Tamandua tetradactyla: one gene and its partner. The protein of the gene in region 2 purifies or fractionates together with the protein of the main gene of each other region. This does not show direct contact. Links are inferred from orthologs where the notes say so. Each region holds a gene or a part of one and is shown on either strand. Other genes may lie near its edges.

Region 1 (6,936 bases), on a different chromosome or scaffold from region 2:
CTGTAGAATTCAGGGATCTAAACCTCCTGGGGCTAGAGAGGCCCCAGGCAGCTTGGACAGTGACAGGATATAGTGGGTGGGTGCCAAGCTTGAGAAGTCACTGGCTCTGGGGATTAAGGGGCGAGAGCTGCCATCTTGATGCCCTGGGTAGTTTCATCCACCCATTTTACCTTATCTCAGGATGCTCCCCTGCAGCTGCGTGACAATTTCCAGTTGAGCAGCAGCAGTAGGCCTCAGCCCAGGCTGAGTCTCCATGCCTCCTGCCAGACTTCACTTGGATTTATCTAGAACAAACTTTTACCTAGTTCTGCAATGTTGTTCCCTACAGGGTGACATAAGCACTCCTTTAGGCTTTGGAGGCCTACAGTCTCTATCAGGACTACTGAGCTTCACTGTTAAAGCATCAAAGCAGTCATAGACAATACGTAAACAAATGAGTGTGGTTGTATGTCAATAAAAGTATTTATGGACTCTGAAATCTGAATTTTCACGGCAAACATATTATTTTGCTGTAGGGTGTGGTAGTTAGGTTCAGATGTCAACTTGGCCAGGTGAACGTGCCTAGTTCTGCTGCTGCGGACATGAGCCAATGGTACCCACATCTGTTACTCATTACATCTGCAGTCGGCTAGGAGGCGTGCCTACTGCAGTGAATGATGTTTGATTTACTTGGTTGGTGCTTAAATGAGAGAGCTCAACGTAGCACAGCCCAAGCAGCTCAGCATACCTCATCTCGGCACTCGCAGCTCAGCTCAGTTCAGGCCTTTGGATATGCAGAAAGAAAGCATCCTGGGGAAAGTTGTTGGAACCCAGAGGCCTGGAGAGAAGGCCAGCAGAGATTACCCTAAGCCTTTCCATGTAAGAAAGAACCTCAGATGAAAGTTAGCTGCCTTTCCTCTGAAGAATTAATGAAATAAACCCCCTTTTATTAAAAGCCAATCCATTTCTGGTGTGTTGCATTCTGTCAGCTAGCAAACTAGAACATAAGGGTACAGGGATAGTTCAGCGGTAGAATTCTTGACTCAGGTTTGATTCCCAGCACATGCACTTCCTAAAACAAACAAGCAAGCAAACAAATAAACAAAAATTCAACAAATGGTGCTGCAATAACAGGATATTCACATGGAAAAAGAATGAAATGTGACCCCGCCATACAGCATACAAATTGAAATACATATACATATATAATTTTGGTTTTTATACAACCATTTTAAAATATAAACACCATTCTTAGCTCATAGGCTGTACAAAAACAAGAAGGCTCACAGCCTGCCAGCCATAGCATGTGGACCCCTGCTGTAGCCGGCCGCCCTCCAACAGCAGAAGACTGATCTAGGCCTCTGAGGCCTGACCAGGAACAGAGGGCATTGGAAGCTGACATCATCCTGGGTCCATTGCACATTGCATAAGGGAATAAGGCTTTCAGAGACCCCAAGTAATTTTAAGGCCCTATAATTCTCTAAATGTCTTTTCTCATCCTTAAACTCATCTCAGCACTCCTTAACCCAGCGTTTGCAGGCCATTGTGACCTGACCCCTGCCTACAGAGCCACTTGTGGCTCCTCCCTCATCACGGTCCCTTTAACAGGACTCTGCCTTTCTATGCTCTATGTCTCCTAGGAGTAGACCTATGCCATGGCATGGCTAGCTATTACTGTTGAACATGTCTCTTTCCCAGACTGAGCTGGGGGACTCTACTGCTCATCCATGCCCCTTCACATATGGCCTGCTGCAGCAACCCCACTGGGCAGGGTGCTCCTTGTCCTCCTATCATTGTTATCTGTGCATTCCCAGGTGAGGCTTACAGTGGTGGCTCAATGACTGTTAAGTAAATGGGGATGACAATTGGAAGCCATCCTGGAATACTCCCTGGAGAAGGTGGAGTTTCTGTGCTGGTGCAAGATTTGAGATATTCCCGTTTGGGGGAAGTCCTGGAGGGGGCTTCCATCCCGACACTGCTGGAAGTAGGAGTGGGTAGGGGGGTGGGTGTCCAGCTCAGGGAATGCCCATCCATGGGGGCAACTCCCGGTTAGTTTTTGACTTGGGTTCCCAGATACAGCATTCTCCACCCCTTTTTGGAGGAGGGAAGAGTTGGTGGAGTAAGGGCTCTGAGCTTCAGTGAAGTCTCTGAAGCCTCTAGTCCCCATACATAGAATGGTGCAGTTACTTTACCTCCTTGAGAGATACTGTGAATGCTGACAACCACGGAGATTTTTAATAAGCAGGGTCCCTCTGCCCAAGGGAGAGATGTGCTGAGGGATGATGCTCTTCATTTTGTATTTTCATCAGGAAAGCAGTGCCCATGCCCCCCCCCCCCCAATAGATCACAGGCTTCTAAGGAAGGGGAGTAGAAGGGCAAGAAGAGATGAAATAACAGTGGCTGCGGCAAGGATTCAAAGGAGGAGGTGGGACAAGATAGAGTTAAGCAGCAGTTTTTCTCATTTTGGAATGCAACAAAGGAACTAGGAACTGGAAGGAAGATGGGACGCCAGGGCTGGGGAGGTAGGAGGATCTTGCAAGTGGTGATGGGGTACACCACCCCCAACATTCCAGGGGTGGACTAAGAAGGCTGGGAAAGGAATTCCGGGCATTTACAGAGAACAGAGCAGGGAAGGGCTGTTCTCACATGGAAGGGCTGTGGGTCCAGCAGGCTCCCCAGAGCTTGCCAGTGGGAAGAGCAGGCAAAGGGGACAACACCAGGCGAGGTATGGCGGTCCGCAGGCTGCTGGGCAGGCGGACAACCTGGGAGCTCCGGGACCGCAGCTGAAGAGCAACAATTTGGTTTAGGCCGCCTGAGTGGGCCAGTGGCCTGCATCTTCTTGCGGCCTCCCAGGAGTCCCCGGAGACCCCACCCTTAAGTCCAGACAACTGCAGAAAGAGGCGAGAAGACTCAAGAAAAAAAAAAGAAAGGAAGAAAGAAACCAGTCTGCAAAACACTCGGACATGCCCGGATAGAGGACGCAGGTTGCTACGCCCCGCGCACGTGGGCGGATGCAGGGGCTGTGGCGGCCGGGAAGGGTCCCTTAGATTGGGAGCGGCTCCGACAGCCTGTGTCGTCTGAGTGCTTGGGGGAGGACAGGTACCAATCACTTCCTTCACGCTCCACCCCACCCACGTGGCAATACAGGGCCCGCTGGGTCCGGGCAATGGAGAAGAGGATCCCGCCTGTAGGGGACCTCCACGCCCCGCCGTGAGGTCCAGCAGAGCAGCCTGCAGAGCGCGACGATCTAGAAAGACACCGCTCCAGCCAGAGCCGGCGGGGTGGAGCCTCGAGGGGAAGGGGTGGGGCCATCGAGAGGAGCCTGGAAACTGCTGGAAGAATCGCAGCACTACTATCGCCGCTCCTTCCGCTGCGCACCGGCAAAGAGTGCCTTGCTTGTGTGAGCCGGCCCCTCCCCCACGGAGCCCCGCCCGCGGCAAGTCGGGTCTTTCCGCTCGTCCGCAGGAGGGCCGGGCAAGGGAAGGCGGTGTGTTCAAAGTTGCATCTCGAGTTCTCGGTCCTCAGAGAAAACCCACTTACCCTGTCGGGATGTGTAAGGCAGATTCTAAGAGAGAGGTCGGGGCTGGGAGTGGCGGTTGAGGTAGTTAGCTGTCTCTGCCTCTGCTGCCCAGCGAATAATTCGCTTTACAAGGAGTATGCCTACCTACAGGTGTGCCCAAAGTTGGTCTGTAGGGGGCGCCCTCCAGATGCACAGTTTAGGCCAATTGAGCATTCCCAATATTTAATCCTGAGGGTGGGTCGGCCCTGGAGCTACAGGAATGGGGCTGTGAACACAAGTAAAAGTGCAACGGATTTGTATTCTGAGACTAAGCACGCGCCCCCTGTCCTATTTTGGCCCATGACGTCAAGGTGGGCGGGCGGCTGCAGGTACGCGGCTGACGGACATCCTCCTTTAAGGCGGAGGGATCCGGGGACAGGCGGCAGTGCTGTGCTTCGCCTTACATAAAGCTGCTGGGGGCGCCCAGCCGCTCTCTTGAGTCACCCCCACGCAGCTTATATCTTGCGTGTGAGTCGGACACCGTCCCTGCCCGCTGTGCTCCCTGGTACTTGCTGCTCGCTCTCTTCAAGGTAAGGTTGGGGTCTCGTACTCCAGGCTTTTCAATCGCAAGCACTTCGAGTTTTCATCGTTTTTGGCATTTTTAAATCTTAGAATTATTTGTGGCAGCCTTGAGGTTTGGCTCCTCGTAATTTCTCTCGGAGTGGCCGAGGTTTCTACAGTTTTCCCTGTCATTTCCCTTGTACTTTGGTGGTGGGGCTTCCCTGGGTGGCGAATAGCCATGGGCTCAGTGGGCCGCGGATTGGGACCAGGGTGGTGGGCACCCAGCCGCACGTGGTGGCCGCGCCGTCCAGGGACGCTGCCATGTTGGTCCCTCCACTTCCGGACGCGACTCCAAGGTGCTGGAGGGGTCGGTAAGAGGTGTGGGTGTGCGTGTTAAGAATGACTCAGCACATCCAGGTGTTGCTACCTGTACTTTAGGACGCACTTGTCCTGAAGGGCTTTGGTCAAAGGGTTCGCGACGGGAAAGAACACTTGCAGATTTTTGAGGTCCGTCGTACTTAGTTTCCTGATTCCAGATCTTTCCTGCGTCTCGCGGCGGAGGCCGGGGGTGGATGTGAATTAAAGAGAGGGATTGGGGCAGACTGGAAGATCCATTGGCTCCCTCTGCTCTTCGAGAGGTGGGATTGTTCTGGAAGCTTCTGGAAGCCGGCGCCCCGCCCCGTTGTCTGGATGCTGGGGCGAAGGGAGGCTGCGCGGCGGCGCCCCCTCCTCGTGTGGCCCGGGCCGGCGCATGTCCGGCAGTGACGAGGGTCGGCCCGGCGAGTTGCGGCCACCATCTTAATTGTGCTTGGCTCAGGTACCTGTGCTTAAAGATCACGGGGCTTTAACCTCGGCTCTTTGTTTCTGATTTGCCTCTCATCAGTCCCCCATGGAGAGTGCTCCATAGTTCCTCAGGGGTTGACTTCCCCGCCTTGTGGGCAGCTGTCCTAGTCCCGGGTGAATCCATATGCTGACGACTCGAGATAATACCTCATGGGAAGCAGTTTCCAATCAACGTCGTTTTAGCTTTAATCTAGTCATACTGTTATTTTTTTTCTGCCACAGAAAGGGTAATAGTGATTTTGGGCGTTTAGGTATCCGTAAAGATTACTTGTGTTTCTTATTAGAGTCTAGAGGGTCTGGGGTGGTACCCTGTTTTGTATTTCTAACAAACCACCAGGTAATGCTGAAGCTGCTAATGTTTGGACCACTTACTGAGGAGCTGGGTTCTTAAAACATGTCTTTAAAGAAATTGTACATCTTGTTAAAGGATGCTTGTTTATTTTTTTTCCTGGATTGGCTACTCATGGTGCTGCTTGGTCTTTATGAAGGGCTTCTCTAGACCCTTGGAAATGGATAGGACTCCGTGCTGAGACGGTTGTATAAGTCAAATTTTGTTTACATAAAATCTTAAACAATTGAAAAGTGAATCTCTAAAGATTGCCTATAATGGGTCCAAGCATGCGCTGTTTTATTTCCAAGGACAACATGAATATGTTCTTTCTAATTCTGGATCATTCTTACTGCAGATGCCGGAGGAAGTGCACCATGGAGAGGAAGAGGTGGAGACTTTTGCCTTCCAGGCAGAAATTGCCCAGCTTATGTCTCTTATCATCAATACCTTCTATTCTAACAAGGAAATTTTCCTTCGGGAGTTGATCTCTAATGCTTCTGATGTGAGTGCTCTGGATTTGGTGTTTTCTTTCCTTTTAGCATCCCAGAAAACGAAGGAAGGCAGTGGTTTAACATTTGGTGGGGGCTACTGTTGAATGGGATACACCAGCAGGTTTTGGAAAAAGGTTTGCCCTGTGGACCGTCTTTAGTTTGAAAGAAAAGGGAGGGCTTAGGGTCTCTAAGGGACTACCTTGGGGGTAGAGTTAGTAAATAATCTGTGGTTTTTAAGCTTCAAGGTAAGTGGCAATCAGAATTGATGGTGTTTTGGGAGTAGAAAACTAAAGGGTTTCCTTTTGGATGAAGAGGAGAGTTTTAAGAACAGAATCTTAAAGTCACTACTCTGATTATTTTTAGGCTTTGGACAAGATTCGTTATGAGAGCCTGACAGACCCCTCCAAGTTGGACAGTGGTAAAGAGTTGAAAATTGACATCATCCCCAACCCCCAGGAACGTACCCTGACTCTCGTGGATACAGGCATTGGCATGACTAAGGCTGATCTCATAAATAATTTGGGAACCATTGCCAAGTCTGGTACCAAAGCATTTATGGAGGCACTGCAGGTATGGGACATTACATCAGGGCGTACACTTTTTTTTTCCTTCATGTGTATGTATTTCTATATTTATACATATGTGTAGAGAGGCAAATATGTATACTATAGGGGGTTTGTTTACAGCATGGTTTTTTGTGCGTGGGCCAGAAATTGAACCCGGGTCTCCTGCATGGCAGGTGAGAACTCTAACACTGAACCTACCCATGCATCCCTCCACCATTACATTTTGAAATGTTTCCTGGCTTCTTTCGTTTTAAACTGGTGTTTGACTTTAAAACATTCTTTTTTGGCAGGCTGGTGCAGACATCTCCATGATTGGGCAATTTGGTGTTGGCTTCTATTCTGCCTACTTGGTGGCAGAGAAAGTGGTTGTGATCACAAAGCACAATGATGATGAACAGTATGCTTGGGAGTCTTCCGCTGGGGGTTCTTTCACTGTTCGTGCTGACCATGGTAAGTTGACTGGGTTAGAATTCTTTGGGGATACCTTCTAGGTAAAGCAGTTTTTTTTTCAGTACATTTCTTCAATTAGTCTCAACTATTTATACCCCACTGTGATTGACTTTCTAGGGGAGCCTATTGGCCGGGGTACCAAAGTGATCTTGCACCTTAAAGAAGACCAGACTGAGTACTTAGAGGAGAGGCGGGTCAAAGAAGTGGTGAAGAAGC
Region 2 (7,167 bases):
GGTGATGTCAACCTATTTAGTGGCTTTAAATACACCTATAATTGACAATTTCCAAGTTTCCCTCTCTAGTTCTGATCCTCTCCTGAACTCTGTACTCACATACCCAAATGCTACTCCTTGACAATTCACTACTTAGATGTCTACATATCCAAACACCTGGCTCAATTTCCCCCAGTTGGCCCCAGCTTGTTCCTCCCTCAGTCCTCCCAGTCTTGGGAAGTGGCACCACCACCCACTCAAAGGTTCAAACCAGCAACTCGGGACCCATCCTAGAGATCTTGCTTCTCCTATTATCCCACTTCCATGCCATTATGATATCCCATTAAACTTTACCTTCAGAATATATCCAGAAACCACGGCTGTTCATTAAACCTACTACAGCCTGCCTGCCTGAGCTAACACCATCACTTGCATATGAGCTAACATCATCACTTGCATACATTATTGCAATAATATCCCTATATGTGGTAAATAGGATAATGCCCCCCCCAAATAAAAAAAGAGATCCACACTTTAATACCAGAAACCTGTGCTTGTTACTGTATTTGGTAAAAAAAAAAAAAAGGACTTTGCAGATCTGATTATGATTATGATTGAGAAGGGGATATTATCTTGGATTAATAGGGCGGACCTGAAATGCAATCACAGTGGCCTTATAGAGACAGGCAGAGGGAGAGCTGACAGACAGAAAAGGAGAAGTCAAGGTGGCCTTGGAGGCAGAGATGGGAGTGATGCAGCAGGACGTGAAGATGTGCTGAAGTGCCCTACAGATTGGACTCTGGAGGGAGTGCAGCCCCTGCCGACACCCTGATTTCTGCCCAGCAAAAATGATTTCAGGCTTCTGGTCTCCAGAATTGTGAGAGAATAAATTTCTGTTTTAAGGCACCGAGTTTGTGGTAATTTGTTACAGCAGCCACAGGAAACTAACATATCACTGCCTCCCTGCTTCTACCTTTATCCCTTATAATCTCTCTGCAATTAAGCCAAAGGGAGTCTTTTAAAATGTAACTCAGATCATATGACTTTGCTGCTCAAAACACTCCAGGGACTTCTCATCACACCTAGAATTAAATCCAGTCTTTTCCGCAGTGTAGGAGATTTCCATGTGACCTCTCTCTGTGTCTGCCTTGTCCTCCACTGCTCTCACCCTTACTGCACACCAGCCACCCTGGCTTTCTTGCTATCCCTCAAATACACTTGCTGCCCTCTAGACTCCAGCCCCTTGCACTTATCTCCCCCTCTACCTAGAATGCTTTTTCCCCAGACATCTGCGTGGCTGGCTTCCACTGACACACCAGTGAGGTCTCTGCTCAAATGTCATCTCTTCAGAGGGGTCTTTTCTGATTACAGGGAACCAACCATCCTGGTTTCTCTGTGACTGAGGGTTTTTTCCCCAGGATGTGGGAATCACTGCACCACCTATCACTCTCTGACACCTTATCATGCAGGTGAAAATTATGTGCTCATTTTCTATCTCCCTCAACTAGAATGTCAGCTTCATGAGGGCAGGGTCTTTCTTCACCATTATAGAACAGGGCCTGGAATATAGTAGGTGCTCAGTACATATTTGATTAATGAATCAAAGGATGAATTGATAATTATGGTACATTTATACAATAAAATATTACCCAACCAAAAGTGATGCGTGAGCCTATATTAGTAGAAACGGGAACACATATATGATACACTGTGAAGTAAACAAGCAGCTTTCAAAATGGTAAGTATGCCAGGGTACCATCTTGTAAAAGAAAAAAAGACATGCATGCAACTGTACATTTGTGTATAAGCACAGAAAAAATGGCAGGGGGATCATGACCTGAGGTGACAGCACGTATCTTAGGTTAGCTTATTTTCATTTTTATCTTTCTACTATGGTATGAAATGTCTCAAGATGTTGCTATTCAGGAAATATACTAAGACTGGATGGGAACTTTGACGTAGCCAATGCTCACCACCAACTCTACCTCATCACCTTGACTATGACCCCCATACCTGAGCCATCTCTCAGTGCCTAAGGCTTATCTCTCCTGCACCACTGTCTTGTGATTTCCTGGACAGGAGTGGGGCATCAACACCTTCCCCTGACTCTTCCAACCTGTAGAGGACCCTGTGACCTCCCAGGGGAAATTTCAAGCCCCTCCAAGAGCCCTCAAGGCTGCTCCTCCCCCTAACTTGCCTCAGCCTAGATTTGCATCCCTCTCCCCTTCACTACAAAGACCTGCTTACATCAAACTGGACTTGCTGGCTGGGATGTCACACAGTGCTCTCCTTAGAACACTTCCCCAATCAGTTTGGTCTACTTGGCTAGCCCTTTCCATCTGTCCTCATTTGCTTTCCTGGAACCCTTGCCAGAGCAGCTCCAGATCCCATGTACCCTTGCTCCCATCTTTGAACTCGCTTCTTTTGTACTTGCCATCATGCTATGATAATTCATTTACATACATGCTGGCACCCAGTGCCTACCACTGCCTGCCAAGTCAAGTGCCAGCAAGATCTTATTTTAATCCTATACCCCATGGGATAGGCACTGTCATTAACCCTCTTTTTAAGAGGAGTAAACTGAGGCTTGGAGAGGTGAAGTGACTTGATCAAGACAAATAGCTAATAAATGATATAACAGGAATTCGAACCCAGGCAGTCTTACTCCAAAGCCTGTGGCCTAGAATTTCAGGAAGAAGTTAGGATGGAATGAAATTAGTGGGAAGGAAGAGAAGCTGTTAAGTTGGTTAGTTCGGAAGGAAGCAAATTAAGTAACTGGAAAGGCAGAAAGTTAATTAGTTGGGAGAAAAGGCATGGAGAGAACAGAAAGGAGTTAGAAGGGAGAGAGTCAGGAAGAAGTTAGCTGACCAAGTAGTCAGTTTGGCAGACTGACATGCCAGCTGGCAGGTGTCCTGTTCACAGCTGAGCCTCTTACCTGAAAACTCTGGGTCCCAGCTCAGGTCCTGTGGAGAAGCCCCAAGCATGGCTCTGCCCTCCTCTGTCTCTGCATGGTCCTTCTGACCTGAAACCCAATCCTGACTTCTCCAGCAACCTTCGCACTTAAGAATGACCTGTCACTCACTTCCCAACCTGGCTTCCACCTCTCTCTTCCAGTCCTGCTGGCTGGGAGCTGGCTTCGGAGCCTTCCAGTTACTAATTAACGGCTGGACTTGAAATTACAACGCTGGCTGCGCCCAATGGCTCCTAGAAGGGCCCTGCCCTGGGGACCCTTCGGATATTTTAAAGCTACTGCACAACATAAGTTTTGTGACCTTGGGCAAGTGACTTGGGTCCCTGAGCCTCAAGTGAATTGGTGATGATGGTGTGTCTCCTGCCTTAAAAGGAGGATCTCTGAGGTCCCTTTCAATGCTGTCATGTGTTTCCATTCTCTGAAATCCTTCCCCAAGCTCAAAGGCTGACTACCTTAACTGCAGGAATTAAATCATTTTCCCTTTTTCATAAAACCAAGAGACCTGAGAGGGTTCATCTCACCCAGCTCTCTTCCCTGGTCTCTCCCTGATGGGGGCCTGTTCTTGGACACGTTCTCTTTTGTTGTCCCTTCAGAGATGGGCAGCTCATTCTCTCTTGAGCCTGCCCCATTGCCTGACATCTCTGGTAGGTCTCTGCTTTTTTTTTGTTTTGTTTTGAGTCAAAGCCTGCCATCCAGAGCTCTCCTGCTTTGCACTCCCCTAGGTAAAGACTCATTGCTGAGTCTAGATCCACTTCCCATTGTGTCATTCGGAGACCTGACACTCAGGAACCAGGGCTCAGCTCTTTCCAGCTCATACGGAAGGCAGGCTTTTTCATGGTTGACCCAAATCTGCCCAGACCAAGGGTTCTAACTTAGGGTAGATGCAGGGTCTGGTCTGAAAGATAGATGAGAAAGACATTGCTCAATGATCCCCTTTTAGTGGGCAACTCAGAAGTTGACTTTCACACTACTTTCTCTGCTGCCTTTCCATTAACATTTCAACAACTTTCTGATCATTCTAGTGCCTTAAAAAACTGGCTGATTTAATGTGCTCTTGGGAGAGATGCATTGCCACACCTCCTACCTCCACCAACCCTAGCAAAATGCGTCTAGCCCCAGGCTGAGAGGGGAGGTGGCTGGCCCAAGTGCACAGGGCAAATGAGGGTACAGCCCTGGGTTCGGATCCTTTTCAGAGCTGCTAGCTGCACCAAGCTCCTCTGCCTCTGCATTCCCAAAACTGGTTTAAATACACACAACATACACACAATGGTATCTTATAATCGGTATCAAATAATTCCAACATACAGAAGATTGTGAAATAAAAGGTGAAATTTCTCCCCAATCCACCTTCAATCTCTTTTCCAGAAGTAACTGCTGTTAACTAAGTGGTGACTATTCTTGTAGACTTTTGTCTATACCTAATTCACATACTTTCTTTTCTAGGAAAATGAGCCACACTATACATATTGTTCAGTAACTCACTTTTTCTCATTTTAACACATCTTTCCATGTCAACACACAGATTCAAATTTTTTTTCAGCTGCTGCATCATATTCCATAGTGTTGGACTTACTGTGATTGCTTCTGCTGTTCCTCAGCTGACGGACACTGAGGCTGTTTCCAGTTCCACAATACTTCAACCAGTGCTGCAGAGAACATCTTCACATTAATACCTGTGGGTCCTTGCGCTAATAGTTCTGATAAACTCCTGTAAGTGGGAGTGCTGAGTTAATTTTGTCACTCTCTAAAAATGTGTACCATTGACATGGCTACCACCAGGGTTTGGCCTTCCCCTCAACGATGCTCAGGAAATGGCTATGCGACTCTTGCAATGAAACCACTGCAGAAATGCCACCCCTGCCCAACTTCCTCTCTTCTTTCTTTCTTTACCCTTCTCCCTGCCTCCTCCTCTCTCAACTGGCTGGGTTCTGTTGTTTGGTTATGAAGGTTGAAGAAATGTTCTCAGGGATGGGAAGGGGATAGCAAGAGACTGAACCAATAGGAACCCACCTCCATGAATATTCCTTCCACCTTGACATTCCTCGGCCTCCTTTTCCATCCATTATCTGGCTCTCATCCCTACTCCCACCTGCCCATGCCTTCCATACCTGCAGATTCATCCATAGCAGAGGGAGCACCAGGTACAGGGTCAGTAGAGAAAAATCTGTTACTCACATGGGCTGGAGTAGCACAGGCTTGGGTCCAGACACAGGTCTCCAATTTTCTTTTTGAAAAAAAAAAGGTAGATTGTTTTTAGAAAGTGCCAAGTTACAAAATTTTAAAAATGAAATAGGATTACCAGGTAGAGAGTGAAAAGGATCAGTTCCTTGCTCCATTCTTCAACTCTTCTAGCTGTTTCCTTTGGTAACATTTCCAAATGTCTAAACAGCATGATTCCACTACATTCCTTGATCTTTCCTTTTTTTTTTTTCTTTTATAAACTTTTTTTTATTATTTTTTTTTTGATCTTTCCATTTTAAAACTGAAAGTGGCTTCCTACTATAGAACATGGGCATTTACGTCTAGCCCATCCACACACACACTTGTTTAAACTTTTGCTTTTAATTAATAACTGCCTCATTTAATGGTTTGATATCTACATAAATGCTCTGGTAGAGCTAAAAATAGCCTCTTACTGTATTATGTGTCCATTCTGTTTTTGTCCTTCCTGGAGTCTTCCATCCTATTTTCATCTGCCCTGGCCAGGTATTAGCCTGGCCCTTCTTTGCCCCATCACACTAGAAATTCCCTTTCTCTGTCTTTGTTGCATCTCCAGGTTCCGGGATCCTATGTCTTCCTCTTTTTTTTAAATTTGCTCTCTTATTTTGGTGGAGCGGATCCTCCAATAGCTGCCTGAGGAAAGGTGCACGGGAGATAACTTTTTTTTTTTTTTGGGAGATAAATTTTTGAGACCTTTTATGTTTTTAAATATTCTACCTTCACACTTGATAATTTGGCTGGGTACAGAATTCTCGGGTGGAAATATCTTTTCCTTCAGAATTATTAAGGCAGTGTTCCATCGTCTTTTTATCACAGTGCTGCTACTGGGAAGTCCAGTGCTATTCTGATTCATGTTCTTTTGGATGAGACCTGATTTCTTCTGTCTGGAAGCTTTCAGGATTTTCATTTTCTGATTTTTCTGACATTTCACAGTAATATAACTGGGTGTGATTCCTTTCACATCCATCGTGCTGGGCACTTTCCATGACCTTTCAGTTTGGAGAACAGTGTCCCTCAATTTTGTGAAATTTCTTTTTTTCAAAAAAGTTAATTTTGACCTTGATTTTCTTTCTTATTAAGAATTCCTGCTAGTTGTATACTGGACCTCCAAACTCGTCCTTGAGGTTTTCATAACCATTCTTTCCCATTTTTTATCTTTTTTATCCTACTTCTATGGGATATCCTTAACTTTATCTTTCAATCCCTGTGTTGATTTTATTCTGCAACCATATTTTAAATTCCCAAGAGCCCTTTCTTGTCTCTCAGTGCTCCTTTTTCATATATCTGACATGGCTGGTAGAGGTTAGCTTCTGTCAAGTAGAAGGGTAAACTCTCCCACTGTAAACAGAAGGAAAGAGGGAAGGGTGGATGTGGGTGGGAATGGACTTTGCAGATGTGTTAGGAAGCCACCCTTCTGATGAGTTCCATTTTCTTTGTGGCATAGGTGGGAGGGCATCTATAGAAATGATGGGGGAGGCATGTGGGTAGGAGGTTTGAGGAGCCTGAACAGAAGAGTCAGTGCTGACCCAAAAAATAGCTACTTTCTGGGCAACCGTGAGGGTTCACATTGAAGCTAGAGACTATTCATCTACACAGCCCCAATCTGCTCAGCCTAAGCAGCAGGTCAAGGTGTGGAGAAGATGGGCTTGTGGACAGCCCCACGGGGGGTAATCTTCTAGCCAAGTAGTCTAGAAAGGCAGCAGGACAAAGCAATTAAGGGTATTGACCAAAAAAAGTGGCTGAAGTGGTCAAATGTGGCATTTCTGTCACTTTTCCATCTCCTTACAAACTCTAGGAACCTTCAGAAGTTCTATCCATTCAACTTGGCCATTTCCCTGCCAGAAAATTTGGGATTATTTTAAAAACGGGAAACTTCATTGAATATTCCGGCCTTGACCATTTATTAAGATGTCAAGGATCAAGCTGGTTTTCACAGTCTTCTCTGGGGACTCCCATTATCGACACTTCTCAATCCAGACAAGTGTACCCACTTATCC

What was found. The genes of interacting proteins can lie anywhere in the genome.
Region 1: the proteins of SGK2 (region 2) and HSP90AB1 purify together in Homo sapiens (affinity purification with mass spectrometry; 3 studies listed by BioGRID and IntAct, with this or other methods). This does not show direct contact. The link is inferred for Tamandua tetradactyla from reciprocal best matches to the Homo sapiens genes SGK2 and HSP90AB1.

Annotation. Positions count from the first base shown.
Region 1 is NC_135331.1:101,858,277-101,865,212, forward strand, and holds the start of HSP90AB1 (heat shock protein HSP 90-beta), read left to right. Parts: upstream 1-3,936; 5' UTR 3,937-4,068; intron 4,069-4,750; exon of another isoform or gene 4,751-4,856; intron 4,857-5,568; coding exon 5,569-5,715; intron 5,716-6,067; coding exon 6,068-6,274; intron 6,275-6,560; coding exon 6,561-6,720; intron 6,721-6,837; coding exon 6,838-6,936. UniProt on the Homo sapiens protein: Molecular chaperone that promotes the maturation, structural maintenance and proper regulation of specific target proteins involved for instance in cell cycle control and signal transduction. Undergoes a functional cycle linked to its ATPase activity.
Region 2 is NC_135327.1:8,600,041-8,607,207, forward strand, and holds the start of SGK2 (serine/threonine-protein kinase Sgk2), read right to left. Parts: upstream 3,026-7,167; 5' UTR 2,915-3,025; intron 1-2,914. UniProt on the Homo sapiens protein: Serine/threonine-protein kinase which is involved in the regulation of a wide variety of ion channels, membrane transporters, cell growth, survival and proliferation.